Drosophila melanogaster: one gene and its partners. The protein of the gene in region 1 interacts with the protein of each later gene in a pairwise test. Each region holds a gene or a part of one and is shown on either strand. Other genes may lie near its edges.

Region 1 (7,270 bases):
CAACTCAAGCTGTCGTGAACTAGTGGTCCCAATGCGATGCATTGGTTATGCATAGAGCGGAAATTAATTTAAAGTAAAGACATAAAGTCGGCTTAAAGAAATATTTTTGAACAAAAAATCCACCTTGATTGGTTCGAGAGCTCGCTTAGGCAGGAGGCTGTACTGGCTAAGTTTATTTTGTGCAACAACCACTTGGCAGTGGTATCGATTAATTCGGATGCACATTTATCGAGCCGCTATTAGCACTGGCTTGCAGGGGTCTAAAACGAATAGTTCTTTTCGATAGGCAAGATATTTAAAAATTATAAATCAATTCATATACTTTTCAAGAAAATGCTATCTATTGCGCATCAAGCAATGCGAATTGCTCTCTCATACGCATAAAATGGTCAATTAGGTGAAATAAACCGATTCCCCAAAACATCGAATCGTAAACCATCGGCTACTATTGCAACCGATGCCCCGATTGTGGCTGTCTACCACCACCGTTCCGCCCGATACACCGATACATCGATATCATCGCGAGTGGCTAACCCAGCTCTGAAAGGGAAGCAAGACACCTAAAAGCAGCAACAAAATGCGCAGCGCGGAAACACAGGCGGCGTGTTAAATAAAATAATAATATATAGTCGGTGCAGCTGGCCGTGTGTGGCCGCTGGAAAAACGGGAAAAGCGTTTACACAGTGCTTTTTATTTAGCATTTTCTCCGTTTCGCCCGTGTCTGTGTATGCGTGTGTTGCGTGCGTGAGTGTGCGTGTTTTTTTTTCCTCATTTGGTGTGTGCTTTTTTTTTGTACATTGCGGAGACGCGCTCTTTTTTGTGGCAGACGGGCGGAAAAGATGAAAAACCGCAGAGAGAGCGTCGAAAATTGATGGGAAAATGTATAAAGTTTGTTAATTGATCGTTTTCGAAATGAAAGCATAGAAAAAGGAGCAGCAACGGCGGCAGCAGCAACAACAACAACAACGAGTAACGAAAAACGGCAAAATTTTTTTGTTTGCCTCGTATCGCATTTTCTCACTCTCTCTCTCTCCCGCTGCGTGTGTGTGTGAGTGTGTGTGTGCGCGTCACATATCGACGTCCCTCTCTTGCCACCGACAACAACAACAAATACAAAACGAAGGAAGGAAAGAAAAAGGGGAATAACGTGAAACATGTTTTTCTGTGGCAACAGCAACAACATAAGCGGCAGCTGCAACTATCGGCAGCAACAACAACAGCAGTATCATAAAACATGTGTGGAATAATCGCAGCGAATTGAACAAAGCCCAAAGCCTGGAAATAAAGTAACCAAAAAAGAGAAACGTCGAAAATCAAATGTAAGTAAGCCTTTTTATGCTTCTGTTTTTGCTGTTTGGTTAGGTTGAAAAAAGAGAGAGCAGAAAGAGAGTCGAAACTCAAGCGTTCAGCAATATACAGCGTGCTGTTAGGCGTTAACAGCGTTGCTGTTATGCGCCCAGCAGGCAAACCAATTGGACTTGCCGGCATTTTAAAGTCCAATTGGCTTGTGGCCATTAGTTTATTAAATCGATGTTTTTTCAGTTAAATGCGGTTTTATGGTATTTATTAAACATATTGCAATTTAAATTTGTCAGCTGGCCATTTGGTTCATTATATTAGACTGCAGTCTTTGTAAATGCTCATCTTGTTATGCGGAAAATGCAGCGTTAGAAGAGATTTCTTACATTTTTTTTGTATCTTTTTCAAAAGGACATTTAATTAGTTGGATTATACAAAAATTTGAATATCAATCTAAACATTTAGTTGACTAGATATTTTCGATTTATTTTATGGGTTCGGTTGCTTCGGTAATTGCTTAATTAAATATACTTGATGTGTTAATTAAGGACTTAAAAGTTATAATTCAATTTATACGTATTCCCTGAATTTGCTCTCTTTTATCGCTCGTTGCGCGCGCCCTCTCGCTCTCCTTCTCACTCTCTTCCGTTTCGAGTTCCATGAAGCGACGCCAAAATAGCAATAAAAACAACGACGCAACAGAGCCGCAAAAGGTGGCAACCCTGCTTGCGTTGCACTTTTTACACCCAACCGCCCACAATTTTTCCAAAAAACAAATACATAAGGGAAAAGGAGGAAAAATCCAAACAGCTGGCAGCCTCGCATTGGCAGCTGTGATTTTCATTCGTTCTTCCGCTGGACAAGATGGCTTTTCCACACTATCTCCTTCTCTATTCCCCCTCCCACTCTCCTTCTCCTCTTTGCGATCGTGTTTCGTTGCGTCTTGGCCTTGCACTCATTTCCCATTGTTATTGTTTATTTCGCAAGAATTACGACACTGTCAGGCGAATTTGTTGGTAAACAATTGTGTATTGAAGCAGCTACGGTGGTCACTCGATACGGGGAAGATCTTTAATATGTACATAACTGACAATACATTAATGATTTGTAATGATATGTGCAAGCTATTTAGTACGATCTTAAAAGTAGGAAATAAATTAACAAGAAAACAAGGATTATACAACTCGCATTTAGGTAATACTTCATATTTACGCTCAAAAAGTGAAACTGAAATTGTTGAAAAATCTCGAAACTCTTATCCAAATAGAGTTAAAATAATTTGCAGCGTTTAGAAAAACAGAATTGTGGACGTAGCATCCGTTAGTAGGGAGCGCATTTGTTAGTACGAGTGATCCCCGTACAGTGAATTCCCTTGATAGCGATCCAGTCCGTTCAGGATTTTCTCCCGCCGCATTCGCTGTTGCTGCCGTCGGCGCTGCCTGTAGAGATCCAGGAGAGCATTGCAGGTGTTCCTGTCGAGTGCGTAACCGCGCGCTCCATTGGCCCTTATGGCGACAGTGGGTAGGCGGTGAACCGACGACTTGTACAGCAAACTGCCGGTGCCGACCTTTTGCTTGGCCTCCACGGCGGCGGATGCGGCGCGACAGGCCGCCTCCTTCACCTGCTCGTACTCCGACTTAGCTTGCGCCACCTGGCGGGCCAGGCGGTCACCACGTGCCTTCGCCGCCGCCAGCATTTGGTTCTTCTCCTCGATATCCATGTTCGACTGGTCGATTAGGCTGTCCATTTCCGACAAAATGCCACTCGTCTGCTGTACGAGGGCCCTGAAAACATTAGTAATCGAAAAAGCATTGATATTAAAAATCGATATGTTATCGCTGGTAGATATTATGATAGATATAACGATATAATTGTTCCGCTTTTAAATTGTGTAGATAGTTGGATGGATTGTGAACAATATTGAATATTGAATATTTATCAATTATACCTGAATGTTTCGGCTTGAACCTCCGCTGCTTTGACCACGGCACAGGAGGCCTCCACGTTCGTCTCACTGTTCTGCAGCGAGCAGCTCACCTGTCCGACCACCTCCTCGGCATCCCGGATCTCCCTAGCGTAGTTGTCCACCATTGCCTGTTTGCCCTCGAGCACCGCATCGGCGGCACGGGCAGCGGAGATGGCCTTTTCCGCCAGCTGCATCTTCGCCTGCCGCGATGCATCTTGAGCGGCGGCCGCCTGTGCATCATTGGCTGCCTTGGCCACCTGGGCGGCATTCTGGGCAATGTGGGTGGCCTTCAGCCGCGAATTGATAATCTCGTCACAGGAGTCACAGTTGTCCCTATCTCTAATATTATTCCTGTCTTTGTCCCGATCCCTGTTTCTATCGCAACCCCTATTTCGATCCCAATCTCGGCCTCGATCCCGATCAATATTGCGATCTTTTTCTCGGTCCCTAGCGCTTTCGTCCATGCTTTCACATCCAGATTGGTAGGACGGTCTTGTGGTGCATCCCAGATAAGGGAATGGCACCACTGTGGCCCCCGAACTACCATTCCCATCGCCGTTGAAGCCCTGGGGAGATATGTCATCGTTGGTGTTGTCCAAATAGCTAGCCAGGGAGGCGTCGTGTTCGTTGTGGGGCTGGTCGAAGCTCATCGCACGGACACTCACAATGCGGAGGATGATAAGGAGCAGGGTATATGGTGGAAATATATACATTTTGAATCCGGAATTTGAGGAAAGCGACTCAGGCTGCTGCTTTCAAAACTACTAGATATTCCATAGAATATATACATATTTCAGGGTATTTTGCGATTCTTTACAGTTGGCTGGCTTTCTAGTACTTTCGCATAGTATCAGTTTAATTGATGATGGGAACCCCTTAACTTACCGTCTAAAAGAGCTAGAACGTATTTGTGAAACGGAAAAGCAATTGTTTGCCCTTTAACGATTTTTTAATTGAGCTGAGTGGTTGCCCATACTTTTCCACCAGCGCTTTTCCAGCTTTCCCATTTCCCATTGTCCTGCAGGATAAATGGCTGCCATAGCGATGGGTAATCAGCACCTCAGTTGGCAGCTTTCGCACCTTGCTCACCTTTCGCACCTTCTTTCTCCCTTTGCCCAATGCAGTGTAAATGCGTATCAAGAATACTTCATTAGTGCCCAATTGCGGCGCAATTGCGACGCTGACGCAGCCAACTGGCTGGCTAACTAAGTATCTAACTAGCTAGCGGCTAGCTGACTAACTAGCTAGCTGGTTAGCTGACTAGCAAGCACGTGTGGCGAGCGGAGAAAGGGTAGAAAGCGGCATAGGTGTGGGTGGGCTGGGAAAAGTCGCACTTTATCACAACAAACCAGATGCTAAGCACGTGCTGCCATTTGTTTTGGTTATTATTATTGTGATTCCAGTCTCTAATCAGTGCGGCCAAATAAATAAGTGTGCGGAAAACAGAAACCATGAATGCAGTTAACTGGCGGTGGGGAAAACGCCACCTGGCGGAAGTAATATCAACAATTGCAACGATCTGTAGATACAGATTCATAGATACATAGATAGCGCTATAATAGATATTTGCGTATTTTTCATTTACACTGAATATACTAACATTTATTCCGTGAGAGAATTCAAATTCTTCGTTGAAATTACGCATAAAAGTCAGGGAAAACATGCTATCCGCATAATTGATTTAAGATTCAAGATGAGTTATTTGAAAGATGAAATTCCATAGATGCAGAGGAAAAAAACGTTTTTCGGGCAACACATTATTAAGTGAAATTCATGCCGGCCATTCAGTTCCTTTGTTATATATATATATATATATATATATGTACATACATGGTATATAGTATCGTTATTGTAGTCTTCTTGTTCTTGTTCTTCCTGCATTCATTATCATTGTTGTTGTTGCTGCCGACTGGTCACCAGTTTACTGCAGTCTGCTTGCGAAACTGAAATTTTCAATGCCACTGTCAAAGCTGCGACGTCATCCGTCATCAATGAATGCGCAGTTTTCAATTACCATACAAAATACAAAACAGTCAGTACAGTGGCGGAAATAGGGAATGATACGGCCATGTTCTCTATAAGAAAGTTGCAAAATGGCAGAACGTTCAATTCAATTGACAGCAAGTGTGCAAGGGAAATCATACACTTGTTTTCCAATGTGATCTTATGAGTATCGCAAACTATGAAAATATGGTATCGTTCGCTCGAATAGATTTAGAGACTTTATAATACAAACCAAATGCTCATTTTATGTTCTTTTTGATTTATAGAGAAGTAAATTTAATCATTGCCAACATCATTTATGTTTTATTACCACATTTTATCATAATATTGTGCATTTGATAAGTTTTTATTTAACGCGATCTTGAGAGATCACAAAAACAACTTCATGAAAGGTTCTTTTTTAATTGCCGCTTGTTGTCTTTTGTATTTTCGCTTGCCACTTGTTAGTGTTTATATTTTTTATTTGCACATTTTTGCGCTATTGCGTATTGAGCAAAAATCAACTTTATTAACTGACCTTGTGTGTGGCCATGTGCCCCAGTGTGTGTGTGTGTGTGTGTGCGTGTTTGTGTGTTTGTGGGAGCGAGATGGCAGCAAAGCTCTGCGACTGCGCCGCTCACTTCACTTCGGTTCATTTCAGTTCATTTCGCTTCAGTTTCGGCAAAGGCAAAATCGGTCATTGAACTTTGAACCACCTCAAGCTAAACAAAAAAAAAAAGAAAAGTACAGAAAAATAAATAAGACAGCAACGAAAGAAAAATAAAACAGCAGCAAAAATAAATATAATAAACATAGCCGGTCAGCGGCGGCATTTACATTCTTCGCTCTTCTCTCCGCTCTTCTTCGCTTTCGATTCTTCTCTATCGCGCCTCGACTTGATCTACAACGCACTTGCTGCGGGGCGTGCGAGCGGGACGGGAATAGGGCTGCGGGGAGTGCAGAGAAAGAAAGCATAAATTCTTCGCCTTTCTTTGCACAATCGCACAATCTTCCATTGAAAAAGTGCTTTCAAAAGCGCAAAAACCGTTTTGATGTCGCTGATGTCCAATTGTTGTTGCTGCCACAGTGGTACCTCGCTATGCAAAACAAAATGAAAAATGCGTCCTAGAATTTGCAACTTCCTTGCATGATTTGCACTTCAAATTTGGAAGATAGCTAATATCCACGAAATTGAACTTCAAATTTGAGACAAAACCAAGTTATTTGATTTCGATTCAAGTTATGGAAGACGTGCCGTACTATTTCCTTGCCAAATTCCCTTAACTCTTCTCGTTCTTGGCTAATCAGCGATACTAATGAATACAGAAGAAGCGGAAAACGCCTACAAGGTATTTTTAGTAGACACCTAGAAAATCTGGAGCACGCACATAGCCAAATAAGTTTGTGTATGTAGGCAAATGTGTGAGTACGCCACCGTATTAATAACAAAACGTTTTCTTTCCTCTTTTTTTTTCTCGGGCGTCGCCACATGTTGCACTTTTAATAAAATCGAGTTCACAAAAAAAAAAAAGAAAAGGAATGCAGAAATAGAAAAAGACGCTGTTGCAAAAATATGATTTATTTCAATTATTAGTTTAGTAGCAGCATTTAATGTGCACGCAAATTGAATTAAACAAAACGAGTGCAAATGGAAAAAGTCACACGAACGATTTGGGTCACCACATGACGTGCTGTGCTCCCCTCTCTTCTTCTCATTCTGCGGTGGGTGGCTGTAGTGGGTGGGCGGTGGAGAAAGGCGAAAGCGAGACGAAAGAGAGCGCGAGCGGCAGGGCAACACACACACACATACACATGTGTACTACCACCACACGTACATTGGCGCAGTCCGACAGACAGACAGCCAAGCCAAGCGATTCTGACGTCAAACGGCCGCCGCCGATCATAAAGTTGTATTTTTTATGCCCCCGCTACAGTGGCTACTCGCTTAGTTGGCCTGCTAATATAGGGATTTGCGGTAAAACCCAGACCTCAGCTTATTGATGTTTTATTATTTAAAAGTGA
Region 2 (4,055 bases), on another chromosome or scaffold:
CTACCTGGCCGGCGTCCTAAAATCCGCACAAGAACTTCTTCGCCGCCGGGAGCTGCAGTGCCTGGAGCTAATAGTGTATCAGAAGGAGAATGAGAAGTTGGAGAGCTATAAAATGCAACTAGAAACCCAGAGGAGTGGCCTACCGGCAGAGGATCATTTGATGGAGTTCGAGCAGAACATGCGCTCTGTCATCTACAAAATCTCTCAGCGCTTAAACCAGGCGCCTAAACTGCCCGCCGGAAGTTGTCAGTTTAAGGTGCATCTGCACACTACCCAGGAGGCATTCATCCGCTTCAGCCATGACTCCCAGTACCAGGAGTTTCCCTGGCTTCAGACCCAAAAAACTGAATCCCAAGCGACAGGGCGAACCGTTTACCTCCTTCCTTTGGCTAGGGTAGATGATTTGGGACTGAAAATGGATGTCCTCATCGTTAATTAATGTTATATTCCTAAAACTGTTATCCATTTTATCGAAAACTACACGACGTTGGGTTTATTTTAAACTACAATTGATTCTAATCATGAATCGTTGGCTGATCCATGGTCTTTCTTTAATGAATAAAAGGACGCCCAATGGTTTTATGGCTTAACATTAGATTCCTTAAATAAAACCAATTTTAGTGTCATTCCGTTTTGAATTATAAAGACTGTTGAGGTTTTAGAGGAAGCGTCATATAGAATTGACCGGTACTCAAGCGACCATAATCGTAGGCTTGTCCTCTAAAGTAGACCCTGGCGTTTTAGATCCTCGAACGTCTTTCGGTTGACAACGTTTCCCAGCGAGTCCTCGAACTCTTCCTCCTGATCGGCTACCCAGCGCTCGCTCTGCTTTTGCGACTTGAGTTTTTCCCACAACGTGATTGCGTCCTCGATCTGGGTGACATTGGCGAAATGGGCGGTGTTCGGAATGCCGAGGCATCGCATGCCGTGCGCATGCCGCCACTCGGCGAAGTGTCGTTGAAAAGCCTTAGGACCCTTGTAGGTGAAGTTTCCACATATCTCGCAATTATAGCTAATATTCAGGCCATGCAGTTTATACAACCAGTAGGGGATAGGTTTACCGTCCCATCCGAGCGGCAAGTTCTTGGGATTGTACGGAACGTCGTCCGCGTCGGGATCATCTTCGTTGTCCGACTCGCTGGCCTCCACATCGCTATCGTCCCGCTCGCCACCAGTCCGAGCCTGTTTTCTCTGCACATTCTCCTTGGTAGCCGCTCTCTGCTCAGACAACAGATCCGCGTATTTGTAGAGCAGAGCCTCTAGCTGGGCAATCTCCTTGTGGCGTTCGTGCTCCCGTGACTGGGCACTAGCAGTCTTTGCGCTGGGCTTCTTGGCCATCAGTGCGGGATCCAAGGTGCTTTTACCTTTTGTAGAGAATAAACGCTGTGCTCGCTCCTCCAGGGTGCCGCCGCACTTAAGACCCAGAGCCACCAAAGCCGACTTTAGACGATCCAGTCCTAGCGAGGCCAGCTCCTCCCAGCTGGAGAAGGCGGATAGATCAAGGTGGGCGCCGGTGTTGGCCAACGCCGACTCAGTTTCCTTAATCGAAAAACCCGGAAATGTGCCCATCAGCCACTGGCGCTGGAAGTCAAGTTCCACCTTTAGCAGTTCGCCCTCCAGGTCGAGCAAGGGCTGGATTCGGAGGATGAAGTGGTGCAGGTAGTCGTTGAGGGTCTCTATGTATATGCGGTACTCGCGGTTCTTGCGCTCTCTCGGAATATCGAAGACGTGGTCAAAGGACATAAGGTAAGTGATATAGTCCAGTTTCTCCACCGACCGCAAGTTGAGGTACAGCTCGTAGCACTCGTTGAGGTCCAGATAGCGACCGCCGCCCTCCTCGTCAGTGAACTCCACTAGGGCACTCATGTCGTCCGGATTGTTGTACACCCGAATCATCTCGTCGAACTCGACGGACAGCGGCACGCTGACCTCCGCCGGATGGGACTTGTAGAACTGCTTGATTTGCTTGAGGCGGGCGTAGAACTCATTGAACTCGTTGGGCCCCGAAAGAGCGGCAATCTCCGCCTTTCGTTCATTGTCCTTGTCCTCGTAGAGATCGCGTAGCTGGGACGTAGAGTTGTGATGCAGTTCCATGAGGTATTTAAGCCGGTGCTCCGAATGGATGCGCTCCTTTTCGCCCGGCTTTTTGGTCGCATGCTCGTCCACCATCAGTTTGACCAGGCGCTCGCGCTCCTCGTGTAGGCGCCGCTGTTGCTCCAGGAGCGTCTCCATGGCTCTTGAATGCGAGGATTTAATGCGGGGAAATATCAAATGGAGGCCTTTCACTTAGCGAAATCCCGAAGAAAACACAACTTTTCGTCAGCGTGTGTACATTAAAAAATACACTTACAATAAAGCAGGGATGGCTTATATTGTCACATCATATTATTGTCAGGTTATTATACTCCGATCACACTGGCAATTAATGTGGATTTCGGGAATGCAGATGTATCAAATTAACGCTCGATTATTCGAGTAATATAGTAATGATATTTAAAGAGCCAAATTGATTTTTCATTATCATATATAGATTATATCGCATGATTTTTCTACCTAGTCGATTAAAGTGAAGCCTCTGTTACAAATGCGATAACAATTACATCGTCTATCGGTGGTCTGACAGCGACAACAAATACACATTTTTACCCTCGCAATCGCAGGGTCACACTTTCGTGAAATCATATGATCGATTTGCAGTGAAAATTTTCAGACGTTGGGCAGAAGGCAAAAGTAACTTATCGTTTTCCACTTTCCTCGTGTTGGGCCGCCGTTTCCAACTCAGTTCGGCTGTGAATGTATTAGCTTAATTAAATTTCAATTATTTCCAGGCACGGTTGTTGTACGTGGGCTTCTTTAAAACACTTGAATTTCCTTTCGGTTTGTGCAGTGAAAAAAATCAGTCAAAATGGCACTGAGCGATGCTGATGTACAAAAGCAGGTAATTGAAAACTTGGATTGGGAACGGGCAGGCGATCAAGGTCGTAGGGAAACAAGCAAAACGAGAGGCTTCGTTTGCCTTTTTGCCTTTGCAATTTGCCTTTGCAATAAAGATGGCGAAGTCATGGGATCTCCCAGGTCATGTGAACTTTTCACCGCCAGTAGTCCAATTAGACTGACATCCTTCCAAATCGGCCCGGTCATTTGGGAGTTGCCGGAGTTTTGACATATTTGTTGGCTAATGAAGACACATCAATTTATTTGTCCAGATAGTTTGCGTAAAAAGTGAGTAAAAATTCGTGCTGGTCATGTGACACGGCCCCCGCATTGGAGCAATGTGTTGGAGCGAGACGACTAGCCCTGCACCCCACACTCGTACTCTCTGTCACACGACCAGCGGACCCCTTACGTTATCAAAACTTTAACGAAAATAAATAGAGGCTAGGGTCTTGGACGTCTCCCTTTTCCATTTATCATGTCCAGTTATCATGTGACACACAGGCAACTACTAAACAGGACGACTGTTTCAGATCAAGCACATGATGGCGTTCATTGAGCAGGAGGCCAATGAGAAAGCCGAGGAGATCGATGCCAAGGCCGAGGAGGAGTTCAACATTGAGAAGGGACGCCTGGTCCAGCAGCAGCGTCTCAAGATCATGGAATACTACGAGAAGAAGGAGAAGCAAGTTGAGCTGCAGAAGAAGATTCAGTCCTCCAACATGCTCAACCAGGCTCGTCTGAAGGTGCGTGTCGTCCAGTTGGTGGCCCTAACATATACCGGAAAACACCTTATTTTTAATCATTCGTAATGTACCCTGTAGGTGCTGAAAGTGCGCGAGGACCATGTGAGCAGCGTGCTGGATGATGCCCGCAAGCGTCTCGGCGAGGTCACCAAGAATCAGTCCGAGTACGAGACTGTGCTGACCAAGCTCATCGTCCAGGGCCTGTTCCAGATCATGGAGCCCAAGGTGATCCTGCGCTGCCGCGAGGTGGACGTCCCCCTGGTACGTAACGTCCTGCCTGCCGCTGTGGAGCAATACAAGGCCCAGATCAATCAGAACGTCGAGCTGTTCATCGACGAGAAAGACTTCCTCTCTGCTGATACCTGCGGTGGTGTT
Region 3 (8,539 bases), about 10 Mb from region 1:
GTACCGGGAACCAATATTTCTTTCAAAAACCCTGATGAAACTAAAAGACATTGCCTTAGATTTGTACTCTATATTGTGTACTAGAATCGATCGTTACACTAGCGTAACAGTAATATATAATATATATAATAGCCAGCGACAACTGATTGATGCCTGCCAACAAAGCCATACATTCTGTAAATATGTAAACTATATCCGATTGCTCGGTCGCAGTGCTTTATGTTTAGTCTAAACAGTAGAATTATTATTTGCGCAAGCATGCTAATTGGGGATTGCCATCCGGTCGGCTGCTCCAGAGAAGTATATGAGGTAGCCACATACATGGCCTCCGATCATCATCATCAACATCAACATCATCATCACAAATAACCATCATCATCCGACGACAGCCGCAGGTGGTGCGACTGCCGGTGCCTCTAGCTATTGGACATTATAGTGCGGTCCTGGCGTTGGCACACTCTTTAGCGGCGAATCAAACTCCATGGGCGGCGCTTCAATGACCGGCGTCTCCGCCGCCCCGGTGCCGATTCTCTCCTGCAGAATTTCGTACAACTTGTGGATGTGCTCGTTGTGGGCCGTCGTCGGCTGCATAGCCTTCATCAATGTGGCCAAACGACCGGCGGGCAGCTTATTGTGCACATACCACAAAAGTTTCAGCATGTGACGAGAGGTCACATTCTCGCGCGTCAGTCCGGCAAAGATGAACTCGTCGAAGAGCGTGGTGCAGAAGTCCTCCGTGGCAAACTCTTCGCTCATGGGGATGAGCAGGGCAATCTGTAGAGGTAAGCAATCGAGTCAGAAAAGTAAATATTAGAAAAGCAGCTATAAATGCTAACCAGAGAGTGCAGGAAGGGATCCTCATATGCGCGGTCGTCTTTGCAGGCGGACAGAATGGCCAAGACGCGCAACACGCCCACGCGATCCTTCAGGCGCGCCGTGTGCAGCGTATAGTACATGGCCAATATGCTGGCCACGGAACTCTCTTGAATGTACGCCTCCACGGCATCCGGTGCCGGTCCCGAATGCTCGATGGTGGTCAGAGCAGATTCACGCTCGTCCGGCGGTAGTTTCGCGTGCAAGCTGCGGCACTGGTCGTCAACCATTAACGACATGAGGGCGGGCAAAAACTTGGTGACCACCTGGCAATCAAGTTTGGGCTCCTTAAAGTCTTGCGAATCGATCATCACCCAGGCACTCAAGCCCAAGGCCAACATTCTCAACAACAGGATGAGTATCTGATTGTCACGCGGCATGCCCTCGTTGTTGATCAAGTGATGCAATATCTTGATGGCCGACGTGGCCAAAAAGTTGATGGCATACGGATCGCACAAAGTCATGGACAGATCGCCCAGAACCTGCTCCTGACCGCGCTTGATGTTGTCAAGAAATCCCTGGAGCTCCCGTGAACGTTTAATGTCCACATTCTTCTCCCTTATGCAGGCGTCCAGGCACCAGGTGAACTTGTGACAGGGATCTATCGAGATGATCTCCTGCACCTCGAGATCGTGTAAGGCCATCAGTAGCTCTGCACGCAGCGTGCAATAGTGAACATTGCGGGTGCGCAGGAATAGAGTGCGCAGGAACTGCAGCACCATATCGTACAGCTTGACACTGGTGCCAATCATGTTGGCCAACTTTTGGACTACTTCCCCCTGCCTTCGCACCTTGGGCGTTGGGTGGAAGAACAGATTGTTCAAGTTGGTGTGATCAAACAGGATGTGCTCCTTCTCGCGAATATATTGTGAGAGGAGAGGCGACACCTCGTCACCAAACAACGATTGATTATCACGCCATATCTGCCGCTTAACTTCCGTATCCGTGTCCGCATACAGTTCCCGATCCCTTACAAGGATTTTGAGGTACTTGTCATCGATGTGCTGGGTATTCCTCAATATGGCCATGACCACGGGCCGCAGCGACTTCACCCGAACGACGGGGAAGCTCTTAACGAGCAGCTCCTTGAGCTTCTTGTCCCGCTCCCGGGGCTCCTTTTGGCCCATCTCGTTGATGTGAGCTATCAGCTTGTCGCGCAGCTCCTCCATCAGCGAGGTATGAAAGTCCAGTCGACGCACGCCGTGCAAATCGAGTAAAGGCAACATGGGGCGCAGTGAAGGCAGCAATACACCATTCTCAAGCTAAAAAGGCAGGTGATATTTGGATAAATAAGCCCACCGAACTTTTGGCGCCCATTTTTCGGTGCAACGTAAACAAACCTGAAAACTCTCGATGGCCTTCAAGGGATCAGTGCAGGAGGTCAGGGCCTCGCGCAGATAGGCCTGACCCGGAATATTCACGTCCTCCAGTCCAGTTCCATTGTTATTTTTCGCCGGTGTGCTCATTATCATGCAATTCGTCGGCAAATTGAGCAAAACAAGACACGAAGCTACACAATTGTGTTGTTTTTTATTGCTAGCGAGGAGACAAAAAAATAAGCGCAGGCTTGCACATGTGCGGTGTTATCGATAGTGCACGTATCAGCACGGCTTGTAATAGCCAACTTTGTATGTTTAACATGTAGTTATTAATATTATTTTGCCAACAAATAGTTGTATTATTATTATTGGTAGAATGGTAAATGTTACAAAAATTAATAAAGATAATAAAAAAAAATTATATGGGCCACAAATACAATATAAGTCTAATTTCTAATAGTGTTGGTAAAAAAACTGAACTCAAAAAATAAAAACCTTTAATTAGTTTGCCTTAGAACATCATTCCCATACGACTTAATTGTATAAGAACGTAACTTTTAATTGAGGATTATAAATACAGGGAAACGGACTTTTGCTTTTCAGTGACGGCGAAAGAGAACGCCAATTCCGCGATGTGTCATCCCTAGCGCGAAATAAGCAACAGCAAAAACAGCCAAAAGCAAAGCAAGAGCATCAAGTGCAGTCAAATTCGCACAATTGGAGCTGAACGCCAAGGACAAGGCGTCTCGATTCTTGCCGAGATTCGTGCCCCGTAGCGACTACAAAGGAGATCCTGCTGCACACAGTCGCTATCCTTTGCATCGAGTGTGCGAGAGTGTGTGCGTGCGTGTTCCTACACCTACATAAGCTGGTGTTTGGCTCCGTTCAAGTGCGCTTGTGTATGTGTTTGTGCGTGCATTTCGACGAGAACGAAAGCCTCTCTTTTCGTGGGTAAACAAAAACAAAACACCTGAATGTGAGGAGCAGCATTGGTATCGGGATAAGGATCATCAGGATTTGGGAGAGCACAACAGTGGAAACCCACAGAAGCTGAAGCAACATGTCCTCGTCGACGCAAGAGCGCAAGCGCTACCACAAGGACAACGCGCCCACGGACGACATCCTTACGCTGATCAACCTGGTGCGCCAGAATCCGGTTCTCTACAACTACAAACTGCAGCCGAACCAGCGACGCCGCTCCGATGTCCTCAACGGATGGCAGGAGGTGGCCCAGCAGATAGGAAGTGAGTGCTAGTCATGGCCTGCTTCATGTCCGACTATTAGCCTTCTTCCAGAATTAATATAAGCTTCCGCTAAAGTTGGTTTTAAATACCACATGCATATTGTATTGATAGGCTAGTGTTCTGGCGCCGGCTACTATAACACAACTCATAATTTCATCGTTACTTAGAAACGTTTTCATAAATGTGATGCCTTTGAAGAGGTTCTAGCTTGTATCAATTATCTGTAAAAGGAATACGATTCCTTTGAAACCCCGCTCATATTTATACTACCTCTTTCTTTCTTCCAGACAAGTACACGGTGCAGGAGGTGCGTCGTAAGTGGAAGAACCTGCGGGACACTTTCCACCAGTACCGTCTGCGCACGCCCAAGTACATCGAAGGGCGGCTATCCAAGTGGCGCTACGCCAAGGAGCTGGACTTCCTGTCGAAGGTGTACCAGCCGAAACTGAAATCGCACCGGAACACACAGATCACCTATGAGACGAGTGGGGTTGCCGGCGCCGGTGGAGGCATTGGAGGCGCGAATAGTACCACATTGCCCATTGGAGCTATGCTGCATTTGAAACAGCATGTGGACGATGACGACGACGAGGTGATGGACGATGACGGGCAATCGGATCACGATACCGCCACGCTCTCCTCACATCACGGCACCTCGCAGATCACCCTGGTCAGCGATGAGGCGGAAACCTTCATCCTGACCGCCTACGAGGAGGGCGTCTCGGATGACACTGTATCGCAGCACCACCATCACCATCATCATGGCCATCACCAGCAGGAGCATCATCACCAGCCGCACCACCACCACCACCACCATCATCATCAGTCGCAGCACGACGGCAGCATCTCCAGCATTGAGCTCTCCCAGATTGCCCACGATGACGATGTGGTCGATGATGTCGATGACGAAGATGATGTGGTCGACCACGACGGTCAGCTGGATATTGTGAAGCACGAACTGGACGAGGACGGGGCAACCGGCGCCGAGGTGGACTACGAAGAGGTGTGCCTGTACGAGGAGGCCAGCGGTGCCCATGTGGATTGCGAAATTGGTGTGGGTGACGCCGTGGACGGCGGTAGCGATGTTACCCACGGCAAGGGTTTCCATTACATCGATACACACGAATTTTGCATATCGGACATTGAGCCACAGACAGTTCGCTCCAGCCAGCATCAGTTCTCGGCCAGCGGTGGATCGGGCAATGGCTCAAATAGTGTCCTAACCGGTGGGACTGTGGTAACCGATGGCAAGGTAAAGAATCTCACGCTGGTAACAACCACGTCTCCTGCGGCTGGGGGCGGTGGATCAACCAATCGTCATGATTCCTCAGTGTCAACGCAGCAAATTTCCCTGGTGGATGTAACAGAGGCGACCAGTACCAGTGTGACGATTTCAAGCACGCCGGCCATTTCTCTGAATGCGACTACCGTGACTACCACGCCAGCAGCGGCGCTGTGCAATACCACATCCTTCACATCCACGCCGACGGCCACGATCATTCAGATGCCCCCCTTGAACTGCGGATCTGGCCAGCCATTGGCCGTTAGTGCGGCGGCCAGCAGTTCTAACAATCTCATCAAGGAGGATGAGCAGCATCAGCAGCAACAAGTGGCCCAGGCACTGGCCAAGCGTGATGAGCTCGATCTGTTCTTTGACTTTCTCAAGAAGAAGATGCAGTGCTTCAGCAAGACACAGATTACGCACATTCAGATGGAGTTCCTCAACTGTGTCAGCCGGCAGGAAGCGGCCGAACAGGATGGCAAGGATTAGGGACACCTGTTTTTAGTTATGTTCCCCAAAAAACAACCAATACGATCCCTGAGTAGTTGCCTAGTTTTTTCCATGTATAGGATTAGGATGCGTACCGTTTACCAGTTTGCAAGTTCGTGGATTCCGCGTTCTTCAATTAGCTTTATCCTCCACCCACGAAACCCCGGATCCCTGTATCCTTCACCCCTCTACACCATCCATTCGAGTAAAAATATATATACATATATATTAGCCAGCGTTACAATCAATTGTAATTGGAAATAAAAGAAAATAAATCGATTCTCGAAAACTACACAATTCGAAATTCTTAAAGTTGAATAGCTTGTTTGCAACAGATGATCTATACCTAAGTCTTAGGATTATCCTGGTTTCCCCCCCGTTTTATAGACCGAACTAAATTGAAAACAAGAAAATTGGCGTAAATTATAGAATAAGAAGTTTTAAATTGAATTAGATTATATACATTACGAATTGCTTGTAAATTTTAAACAGCAAAAATTAATATAAGTACTTGCTTTAAAAGAAAAAATAGTATCTACTTTACAAAATCACGAACTATTTGAGAAATAAATATATGAAGAAACCTTCTTGATTGCTTATAACCCTTGATATATACATATTTGCTGGGATTTTCATGTCATTTTTATTTTATTAACAAATGAGACGACCGATCATCGCTCTTTATGAATAACAAGACAATTTGCATATGTGATTTTTCGCTTTCCGCGTGCGATTTATTTGGCGCAGCAGTCGTCCGAGGTCCGATGGCGGATGAAACAAACTTAAACGCAACACTTAGGCTAGTTCGGCTGAAGGTTAGGCTCGTTAAATATACACATATGCACTCTCGCAGAGATCATGCTACCGGCGCAGTGACCTCCGTTTGATCCACATCGCTGTGCAGCTTGGCAATGTGCTCCGAGTTAAAGTAGATGACAGTGATTGTGATGTCGTCGCGATACAGACGCACCGCGTCCCTGGGCAGCGTCAAATAGTACGAGATCTTCGAGTGCTCAATCCCATAGTCGGTGCCGCCCAAAGCATGCCGGATGAGATGCGTGGCCGCGTTTTGGTCTACGGGTTTGCGAGTGAGGCCAGCCCTGCAATGCAATAAAAGCGTAATTAATAAATAAATAAATAACAAGCATACATTTAAAGGATAACTGACTTTCTTTCGGCCAGCTGCTGAGAGATTTCCTGCAGCGTTGTATCGCCTTCCGGCAGGCGCATCGGTTCGAGGATCTTTTTGGAGTTGATGTGCTCCCCCACCAAGCTGACCACCTCGCTGGGCGGAAGGAAATCCCATAGGCCGTCGCTGGCGATGACTAGAAACTTGTCGTTGGGCCCCAATTCGTGCTGCTGGACATCGGGGCGGGCGGTTAGGTACGGTGGCGTATAGTAATTCGGCGCCATTGCCTGCACGCCGAACATCGGCAGCACCTTCTGCTGCATTATTTCCTGGGACCACTTGTAGCGAAAGTCCCCAAAGGCACGCAACGGCGCCAGCTGGCTAAGCAGCCTGCCGTTTCGGATCACCGTCTCATGCTCCTCCTTGGGATGCTCGGCCAGAATGCGACGCACCTCGGACATATTGTCAGCATTGTGTTCGATGTTAAGCTTCTTTGAGTGCCACTGCTGCGTCTGGGGATCAAGAACGCCCAACACTGCGCCACAATCACCCGTGCTGGCCACGTGCATCTGCAGTCCCTCAATGTGAACCAAACAGGCAACGGCTCCTGGAAAATAAACACATTTATAGTTTAGAAATGAAGCCCCTATGAAGAGGAAAGTATGAAACGGGATGGCAACTTATATACATAAATAAATGGATACATCACCCACCAGAAAGGGCCACGTTCATGGTGCGTACATCGTTGCTGGTCAGAGCCTCCTGCGAGATCTCTTCATCCAGCTGGAGGAAGGCGTTCACCAGTTCACTGGATACATCCCGTTGCGGTGTCTCTAACAATTGATTGACATACTTGAGGAAACTAGCCTCGTACATGGGCTTGATCATGCTAACAAAGTCCACGTTGTCATTGTGGCACTTGAGGAACGACTGGCTGTCGGCACCCTGCTTCATCTGCTCCCGGAGCACCTGGCGCGGCAGCGTGGCCGCCGAAACATAGCGAAGCAGTCGCTTGGACACCACTTGGCCACATGCTGCTCCCGCATGCCCGTCGAAAATGCCACAAATGAAGCCGTTGCGGTGCAGGAAGCTGGCCTCCGTGCGGGAATCCTCGCAGGGCCAGTTTGATCCCAGCTGATTTGTTTCATAGCTGCGGATGACTCCATCCACGGGAAAGTTGTAAACGAACTCGTTCTCCCTCAGAACAAGGTTAACCTGTGAAAATAGTTTACATTAATACAGATTCTTACTCTTTATGTGGGAATTACAAAGGTTCCCATGGTAATAGTTATTAATCAGTTAATTCTTATTCGGTTCCTAAAAATTTTGTTCTTAAGCCGCTTGGTATGGACTCTTGTCCAGTGCAAACGATCAAATGAAATTAACTGCTCAGTAAAGGCATTATAAATGGTTGCTGTAGTTGAAATATGAATATGGAAAATCGAATACAGTCGGGTCGACGTCGTTCACTTTGTTTATAGGAAAACACTCGGGACTTTCTTGAAAGCCCTTGAAAGTAGTTATTGGATCTTCAGAAAATTATGCAGGCTTTATAGTTAAATTTTTAAACGGCTTAGGGATGTAATGCATAGATTTGTGGTTTCTAAAAGTAGCTTCAATAGGAAAAATCCAAAATAATTAATAAGTAAAGAAGTACTTTCGATCGAAGATCTTACAAACTGATTACATTTTACGAACCCTGCCCAGCTTGCTAATGACACTTGCCAGGAACCCCAAATCTTACATCGTATGGACTCAATTGAGGCAGTTGCGGCAGCAGACGCAGTGCATTCAAACTGAACTCCCGCACATTGGATCGCACGTAGCTGGCGGCGTCGTTCAGCACGAACTTGAACATCTATATGGAGATTTTGTATATGCTCTCGCCCCGCTGTGGCTATAATTAACGGTAATGATATTGGTTCCGTAACCAAATCGGGGGAGGAGTAGGCAAAGAAGATGGAGGAGAACGTGGTGGATTCCGTATCCCGGAGCCTCCGGCTGATTCACCGACTCCGGTTGCCGGTTGCTGACAAAGGGATCTTATTTTCCGCTGTTGCTTTTGATTGGCCGGCGGCTTGTTTGTACATTTGTGTGCTGTGAAATACGAAGCGGACGGTGTTCACGGAAAACAAACGTAAAAAGAAAATACAGTGCGTACTAGCGATGGGTTTTTCTCTGCACGAGACAGCCTAGAACGAAA
Region 4 (7,899 bases), on another chromosome or scaffold:
TGGTGCTGGTGGTGGTGCCTTCATTGTTTTTCTCTTCTTTTTGTTGTTTGACTTTTACACTTTTGAACAACAAGCCGAAAGGAAAAAGCATGAAGGAATGCAAAGTATTCGATAAAAAATTATGAAAGAAACCCATCTTGATGCATGCCTGTGTATGAGTCCCAAAGAAATCGAATGAATGGTGTTAAGGCAATAAAACACCATCAAAGCCAGGTCCACGTTCCACGACAAGACGGTGTCGGGGGAGCAGGACGAGGACGAGGACGAAACGTAGGCGGAGGCCGCAACGGAGGCAGGCACTAACTTTTCAATCTCTGCTGCAACTTCCGACAGAGACAGCCATGTGTCTAGGCTCTCATTCTATTAGGAGCCCCCCATACACCAGGCGAAACTTCAGATAAACAGACTATAAGCCTTTTCTATTCATATTGTGTTTGGCTAAAAGGCGAAATGATGAACTGACATTTTTCAAAACACTAGACAATTCCCAAAATGTATTCTCTAAAATGTATAATCCAGCTGACATAATAGTTTGGGTCCTCTGTTTTGTAAGGAAAATGTTAGATATGCTTAAGATTGGCATTTAAGTGATTTAAAATGTACTAGCTGAAAAGATGAAAATAGATTTAAACTAATACAATTGGGGAATTGATAGAGTCAGAACCTTTTAAAACAAAAACCGAAAAGGAATAAATAACCCTTAATGTTCGGAGTGTAAAGCCATCCATTCCATTCTCTTTGCCCTGTATTGATATGTATGGTGCAACTTTGCTCGCAAAGCACAGCTAAATACTGGGGTGGCGAATCCTCTGGCGGGTTGACTAAGGAACCCCCCGGGAGCCGAAAGAACAACAAACAACTGAAACAAATTGCAAACTCATTAAATTAAAATTATATTTAATAACCGCGAGTGCACGCAGCGCCCGGCGATTTGCTCTAATGCCCAACGACCAAACCTCGCGCCCACTTGCACCACTTGCAGCGAGTGCCCCACCCACCATTTGGCAGAGAATAACCGCCGCCCACTTGGGTGCATTCCGTGTTTTATTGTTGCAGTTCCCGCCCCGCCGCCGCTGCCCTCGCTGGTGCCCAAGGCCCCGCCACCGCCGCCCCCGCCCCTAGCTCCCGGTGAGAAGAGAGTGCTCAGCAGCACACAGAAGGAGACCCTCGAGAAGCTCAGGTGAGTGGAAACCTCGACGACTGACCCATGAACCCTGACCACCGCCAGTGCTTGCATACCCGAATATCCTGGCATCGGGATAGTTTTTACCTTGAAGGCGCAGAATGGCCATAATTCCGATTCGCTTCGATTCGCAGGACTCGACCCCGAAGGCGCCCCGACTGGTCCGAGATGATGAAGGAGGTGGAGAGCGGCAAGAAGCTGCGCCATGTGGCCTGCAACGATAGGTGAGTGGTGTCCGCATGCTGTGCAGTAATTACCGACTGCAATACTCCCGATAATTAAAAAGGGAATGAAAACTGAAGTTATTTAAGGCCACAGGAAAGAGTACCTAGAGCATCTTACTGCGTTTACGCCACTTTATCCGGCAAATGTTAATGACTTTTACTTAAATTTTAAGTGTGCAGAAGTACCAGCAGCCAAATAATAGATAACTCTGCACGAAAATGTTCAAAAATCTCTTTTATAACAATTCAAATCCTAATAGATCTCAGCCCATCCTGACGTGCAAGTCGATAACCAAATTGGACGACAAGTTCATCTACGAGACGGAGAAGGGCAACTCGCACAACAAGCTGCTCAAGCAGATCCAGGGCGGCATCAAGTTGAAGCCAACGAAGACCAACGATCGCAGCAAGCCGGTGCTGGACGGTCTGCGCAAGTTCCGCCGACAGATGACCATCGAGGAGCAGTTGCAGAAGTCGCAGTCGAAGATCAACATGCTCAGCGAGGCGCCTAGCAGCCATGCACTCGGACCGGGCAGTGCCACGGCCTTGGGAGCCGGAGGATCCCGGCCCAGCATCGTATCGGCTATGTCCATCGACGAGGAAAGCCCCGACGAGCTGGACGACATCGACAAGATCCGCGACGATCTGCAGAGCACCAAACAAATGCTGGCACTGGAGTTGCGAAACCGTGAGGCGCAGGATCGCGAGAACAAGAAGCTGCTGGCCAAAATCCGCACCCTAGAGACCGAACTGGAACGCGAGAAGTCACGCGAAAAGAATCTCGAGTACGGATCCAATGTGATTGTGGCCACCATGGATCCTACGCCCACCGCCGAACAGACCTACGTCAACTCCCTGAAGCGCGAGGTAGAGGACGCACGGAAGGTGTCCAAGGAGGTGGAGCAAAACTATCAGAGCACCGCCGAGCAGCTGGTGGAGGCCAAGACGGAGATCGAGGAGCAGCGCCGCCAGATTCAGTTGCTCGAACGCAAGTTGGCAGCAGCTCTTCAGGTAATTCCTTTTGCAGAACGGGTTCGGTAATATGTATATGTAGGTAATGGGATGCTGCTCAAAGTGTTGTCAGTTGAGATTAGGATTTTGGATTACAACCATTTACAACATAACTATCTCCAAGGGTATGCAAAGCATCGGACTCCGAAGCTAGTCCTTCTTTCTTGTTTTTAGTGTCGCCGGCGTCGCCTCGCTGCGTCCGCTGAGGGCGGCAAGTAGACGGGAGCAGCTAACGAAGCCACCGCAATTCGTAGACTCCGCCTTAGATCCCTCGTTAGTTGTCCCTAGTAGCCACTGTAGCCAGAGAAACAGATCAGCTGACAACACTTGACACAAATGTGGAATGGGTCTGGGAAAGGATTACCCGTGGATACACCTTGTTTTCTTCCTTCTTAAAAACGGTTTGCACACGAGACTTAAAATACCAGAAATCTGATTGAAGCCAGCAGACAGCTTGCTGTTGAGAAGGAATCAGACAAGTTGAATAGTAAAATTATTATCAAGAGAAAGCGAAAAATGAAATTCAAAACTGACCATATTTTATCAAAGCTCAATTTGTATTAAATTTCGGAAGCCATACTTTTCAAGTAAGGTGCCTTCATCCCTTACCTGTGCTATCTGTTTGCTTGCACACAATTCCAGACAAAACAAAATCAAGTTTCTGGGGAAATGCTCAAAAGGTTCCAGAATTTTTCTTTAAGCAAATAATGGACCTGGCCATGCCATGGTAGACATTAAAAAATGTAATCTTTATCAAAACGAAACGAGAGGTATAAACAATGTCCGAAGATCTCGTGTGTAGACGACCTTAAACTCCAACTGCCGGACGCATGCTGCATGAAAGACTCCCGCCACCCGCATTCTGCTTCCGCCCAGACCAAAGCGGTGTTATGACCCGTCTAGGACACGTCCGGTCCCGATTCCTATCCCCCTGAAAGCTTTGCTATTGCACTCCGCGGCAACTAACCGATTAACCCGTTCACGCTCTCTTGCAAAGGCGACACCAAGCACTAACAGACCGCACATTAGTAATTGCTTTGCTTACGACGACGACGACTACGACGATTGCTTCCACTACGACCACTACCATGCAGCACGGCATCAGGTAAAATCAGGCCCCGCTCAAGGATGCCCTCACTAATCCAATGTGTGTATCCCTTCTTTCCCGTTTTCCGTTTTGCATTAACTGCGGCTGCAGGGCGGTGGATCCTTGGACGGATCGCGTCGACCAAGCGATGCAAACTTTGGAAGGGATAGCTCGCCGGAACTGGAGCCTGAGGTCAGCGAAAGCGATCCTGACGAGCCGGAGGAGAAGAAGGTGGAGCGCAGGGAGCGTCGCTCTGGCAAGGAGCTCAAGATCCTGCGTAGCAAGCTTACCAAACTGAAGGTCAAAGAGGAGGCGGCCAAGAAGGAGAAGGACGCCCTCAAGCAAGCCATGAAGAAGAACCAGAGTATCCTCAAGTGAGTACAAATTGTAATGTAGTATTGTTCTTAAACTGGAAACAACTCTGGATGACAGGGAGGAGAACAAGAAGTTTAAGAAGCTGGAGAAGGAGGTGCAGAAGATGGCTGCCTCCATGAAGCTAGACGAAGACGATGTGGACGGCGAGGAGAAGGACGAGGACGAAGAGGAGGCCGAGGAGGAGCACGCCAGCGAAGAAGAGGAGGAATCCGACGACGAGTCCGAGGAGTCCGAATCGGAGGAAAGTGAGGCGGAGACGGGCAGCGAGTCCGAGCCAGAGGTGAGTTAGCCCCAGAGAATCGTAAACTATTTAGCCAGCTCACCTGTACCGTATTCCGCAGGACTCGCCCAACTCCGCGAAGAAGGCGAATGTGGAGCCGCGCGTGAAGAAGCACGAGAGCCGGTTCGCGGCGATGAAGAAGTGCAATGTGCTGCTCCAGGCGAACGTCGACAATTTGCAGGATCAAATTGTGCAGGTGCGATCGCGGGCCACCAATCTGCAGGACGAACTGGACGCGGTTATTGCCGATTTGGGCTTCTAGTCCCTCAGCTTGTCTTCCGTTTCTGTTTCCGTTCCTTGCTCTGTTTTTTCGAGTGTGTGTGCTTCGAGAATATAAACATAAACAATAATAAACAAACAAACAAACGAAAAACTAGAGGTGGATGTAAAATTAATTCTGCAATCGATGTATGATGTCGATGTATGTATCGATGTCGCGCCGTCTGTATTCTACATGTAACGGAATTTTTACAAAGTAATGTAAAATGTTGTGTCGCTGTAGATTTGAAATTTTATTGTTTATTTATAACTATTTAAATGAATTATATAAAAATGTAGTGCAAATTTGCATGTAGAAGAGCGTGAAATTCAAATGCAAATTATAACTTGTTTTTATTTTATTCATAAGTTGTATTTATTACCGTATTTTAAGCATGTATAACAATGTACAAAACAACAAATCGGCGAAATTGGCTAAACTAAACACGCACTACGAGTATTTACTTATGAGTGGAGTGGATATCACGCGTCCCTTCTTATATATTTTGATTAATCTACGATCTGAGCCTTGATATAAGTAGAGTCTACGATGAATGAACCGGGTTTGCTGCCGGCCACTGATGCTTGCCGGGATTGGGTGAGAACGATGTGACAAGACGAGGGAGAAACCGCGAACTCTTTTAGTTGCTCTGGAACCACACTATTCCAGCAGGATGAGCCTGAATCGCTTCCGCAGCGACGACTCGCGTGGCAGGGTGCCTGCCCATTTCTTCAGGGCCGTCAGAACCACAGATCCCATCACCATCACCGCACCCACCAGCGAGTAAGCGGTGGGCGTCTCTCCGAAGAAGAGCATCTGCCAGACGAAGGCGAAGACGATGTCGGCGCAGCGAGCAATGGCCACTGGTCCGGCCTGTTCGATCTGCAGCGATAGCGTGAGCAGGATCTGGCCCAGGAAGCTGAATACGCCCAGTACAACGACCAGCCAACGATCCCGTCCGCAGCTTGGCCAGCACACAGCTCCAATAGATGCGCAAACGATCAGTGTGTAGACCAGAGCGATGGTACCGAAATTCGTCATGATGACGGAGAAGTGCAGGTTTTTGAGCGCCCGCAGCAGGATGTACACATTGGCTCCGAAGAGTGTGGATGATATGGCGGCCACTGGTCCCCAGATGTCGTACGTCTTCCCAGCGACATCCTCACTCTCCGCCGTGTCACCGAACACAAAGGGTGGGCGCGTGATGAGGACCACGCCGAGCAATGTCATATTGATGGTCAGGACATTGAACAGCGTACACGGCTCCTTGAGGAAGGCACGCGCAAATATGGCCACGAAAACGGGCGTGGAGAAGATGATGACACTCGCATCGGCCAGGGGCATGTGTCGGAAGGCATAGAAGCTGAGCATCAGACCCGTTGTGCCCATGAAGCAGCGCAGCAGCAGTATCACCCTCTTGCCCTCCGGAAACACCGGCTGTCGCGTGTATATCAGGATGGGCAGTGCCGGCAACAGGACTCCGACGAATCGAAACGAGGCCAGCTCCATGGGGTTCACGTCCACCAGTCCCTTCACAATCACCGAGCACAGGGAGAAGAAGAGCGAGGAGAGCGTGGCCAGCAGGATACCCAAGTAGGGACAATCGGCGCCCAATCGTCGCTGCAAGCGCTCCAGCCAACGGGGGGCGGGATCTGGGGGCGGGGCGCCCTCCTGGAACTGCTGAAGCTCGAGGTTTTCCGGCATTCTGTGGGGTTTCTTCTCTACAGTTTCTGGATTCCTTCAAAGTTTCAGCATCCTGCAAATGGGATTTGCATCAATATGTGTGCATGAGTGTGGGGAGTCTAATGGTAGCCCACCTGCCCTGAAAAATCGATTTCTTTCGATTGCCTTCCTTATTTACGCGCTGTGTCACTGTCTGCTGCCGCCTTTTCTGCGTTTTCAATGGCACATCGTTTCCCCGCCGCCAGTTTCACTGAGTTTTATTCATTGTTTGCACGCTCCGACTGCGTTTAATTAAACATTTTTAATTCTTTTCGCGAATGGAGATTCCGGAAAACCCTGTGGGCCAGTATTGCCACCCCGAAGATCTTAGTCCAGCCAACAATGCCACCTTTTTAAACGACTCGTCATGTTTAACGGTTTTATTTCGATATATTTTTATGAACTTTTAAAAGATTTGAAACAAGTTTTGCTTAAAATGTATTAAAACTGTAAAACTATTTTGGCATAGCACATTCAAATTACGGTTATAAATATTCCGAAACTTGTTTAGACCGGCTTTTACGGTTTGTGAAAACGTAAGTTGGCAGGCCAGCCAATCAGCTGCTGAACTCCGAAAGGAGAACAATGACTCGGGAATCGGCAGTCGCCACCAAAAGAAATTGGGCGATTCTGGCCGCAGGAGTTGGCTTGGTATACGTCCTGGTGCGGCACAGGCACCGACTGCTGTGTCCACTGCGTCGCGTCTGGTCCTTCGGCAGCCTGGTGCCCCAGCGACGCATAGAAGTGATCAACTCCGTCCAGGATCCGACCACGCAATGGGTTTTGAATGAACTGAAGAAGTAAGTAAAAACCACTTTAATTTCACGACAATGGAAATATATATATATATTCTGCCTCTTAGTCACTGCCAGACTTTTAAAGTCCTTGGATTCGATTGCGAGTGGATCACCGTGGGCGGCAGCCGCAGGCCAGTGGCCTTGCTCCAATTGAGCTCCCATCGGGGTCTATGTGCCTTATTCCGACTGTGCCATATGAAACAAATACCCCAGGATCTGCGGGAGCTTCTCGAGGACGATTCCGTGATCAAAGTGGGCGTGGCACCCCAGGAGGATGCCATGAAACTTTCGCACGACTATGGAGTAGGCGTGGCCAGCACACTGGATCTGCGCTTCCTCTGCGTAATGGCAGGCCACAAACCTGAGGGACTGGGAAAGCTCTCCAAAACTCACCTGAACTATACACTGGACAAGCACTGGCGCCTGGCCTGCTCCAACTGGGAGGCCAAGACTTTGGAGCCAAAACAGCTTGATTACGCTGCCAACGACGCACTTATGGCGGTGGCCATTTATCAAAAATTGTGCAGGGATCTGCAGCCAAAACACTTTTGGCAACGAAGGCAACTGGACGACAATAGCATGCACAACAAATTCGAACCCTTTCTCGACGTGGACTTCACGAAAGGCTTCACACTCAACCCGTCCGGCAGCGGAGTAACTCGTTCAAAGGGCTCCACCCAATCCAAAAGCAATAAATGGGTGCCCAAGAAGCAACCGTACCGGCAAATAGCTACCCGAACCAAAGACTTCTACGATAACTGCCTGCTGCAGGCGCCCGATGGCGAACTCCTGTGTACAATTGACAGGCGCAAGGCGTCCTGGTATCTCAATCAAAATCTGGGCACGCATATAAGCGAAGAGCCCTTCACTGTCCGCCTTAACTTCGAGCCAGCGGGTCGAGCGGTCGGAGATGTGGGGCGCTTCTATCAAACAATCAAGAAAAACCAGTGCGTGGTGTGTG

Evidence for each region.
Region 2: the proteins of CG12985 (region 1) and noi interact in a two-hybrid assay, tested with the Drosophila melanogaster proteins (one large-scale study listed by BioGRID).
Region 3: the proteins of CG12985 (region 1) and CG12155 interact in a two-hybrid assay, tested with the Drosophila melanogaster proteins (one large-scale study listed by BioGRID).
Region 4: the proteins of CG12985 (region 1) and CG17230 interact in a two-hybrid assay, tested with the Drosophila melanogaster proteins (one large-scale study listed by BioGRID).

The regions. Positions count from the first base shown.
Region 1 is NC_004354.4:17,880,453-17,887,722, reverse strand, and holds CG12985 (uncharacterized protein), read right to left. Parts: upstream 4,006-7,270; 5' UTR 3,916-4,005; coding exon 3,248-3,915; intron 3,084-3,247; coding exon 2,639-3,083; 3' UTR 2,485-2,638; downstream 1-2,484.
Region 2 is NT_033777.3:5,589,101-5,593,155, forward strand, and holds noi (noisette), read right to left. Parts: upstream 2,360-4,055; 5' UTR 2,233-2,359; coding exon 721-2,232; 3' UTR 501-720; downstream 1-500. Other genes in the region: PolZ2 (DNA polymerase zeta subunit 2), read left to right, coding at 1-439; Vha26 (vacuolar H[+]-ATPase 26kD subunit), read left to right, coding at 2,906-2,938, 3,468-3,680, 3,759-4,055. UniProt on the Drosophila melanogaster protein: Probable subunit of a splicing factor complex required for 'A' complex assembly formed by the stable binding of U2 snRNP to the branchpoint sequence (BPS) in pre-mRNA. Involved in male fertility.
Region 3 is NC_004354.4:7,725,939-7,734,477, forward strand, and holds CG12155 (uncharacterized protein), read left to right. Parts: upstream 1-2,816; 5' UTR 2,817-3,252; coding exon 3,253-3,436; intron 3,437-3,723; coding exon 3,724-5,207; 3' UTR 5,208-5,791; downstream 5,792-8,539. Other genes in the region: NELF-B, read right to left, coding at 421-774, 837-2,135, 2,214-2,345; Pdp (pyruvate dehydrogenase phosphatase), read right to left, coding at 6,064-6,307, 6,376-6,943, 7,050-7,551, 8,081-8,194.
Region 4 is NT_033777.3:11,434,404-11,442,302, reverse strand, and holds the start of CG17230 (uncharacterized protein), read right to left. Parts: upstream 4,519-7,899; 5' UTR 4,423-4,518; coding exon of another isoform or gene 4,222-4,422; 5' UTR 4,204-4,221; intron 4,161-4,203; coding exon of another isoform or gene 3,938-4,160; intron 3,880-3,937; coding exon of another isoform or gene 3,617-3,879; intron 3,524-3,616; coding exon of another isoform or gene 3,416-3,523; intron 2,419-3,415; coding exon of another isoform or gene 1,668-2,418; intron 1,408-1,667; coding exon of another isoform or gene 1,318-1,407; intron 1,181-1,317; coding exon of another isoform or gene 1,057-1,180; intron 112-1,056; exon of another isoform or gene 1-111. Other genes in the region: sals (sarcomere length short), read left to right, coding at 1,057-1,180, 1,318-1,407, 1,668-2,418, 3,416-3,523, 3,617-3,879, 3,938-4,160, 4,222-4,422; CG5281 (uncharacterized protein), read right to left, coding at 5,080-6,123; Exd2 (exonuclease 3'-5' domain-containing 2), read left to right, coding at 6,727-6,941, 7,004-7,899.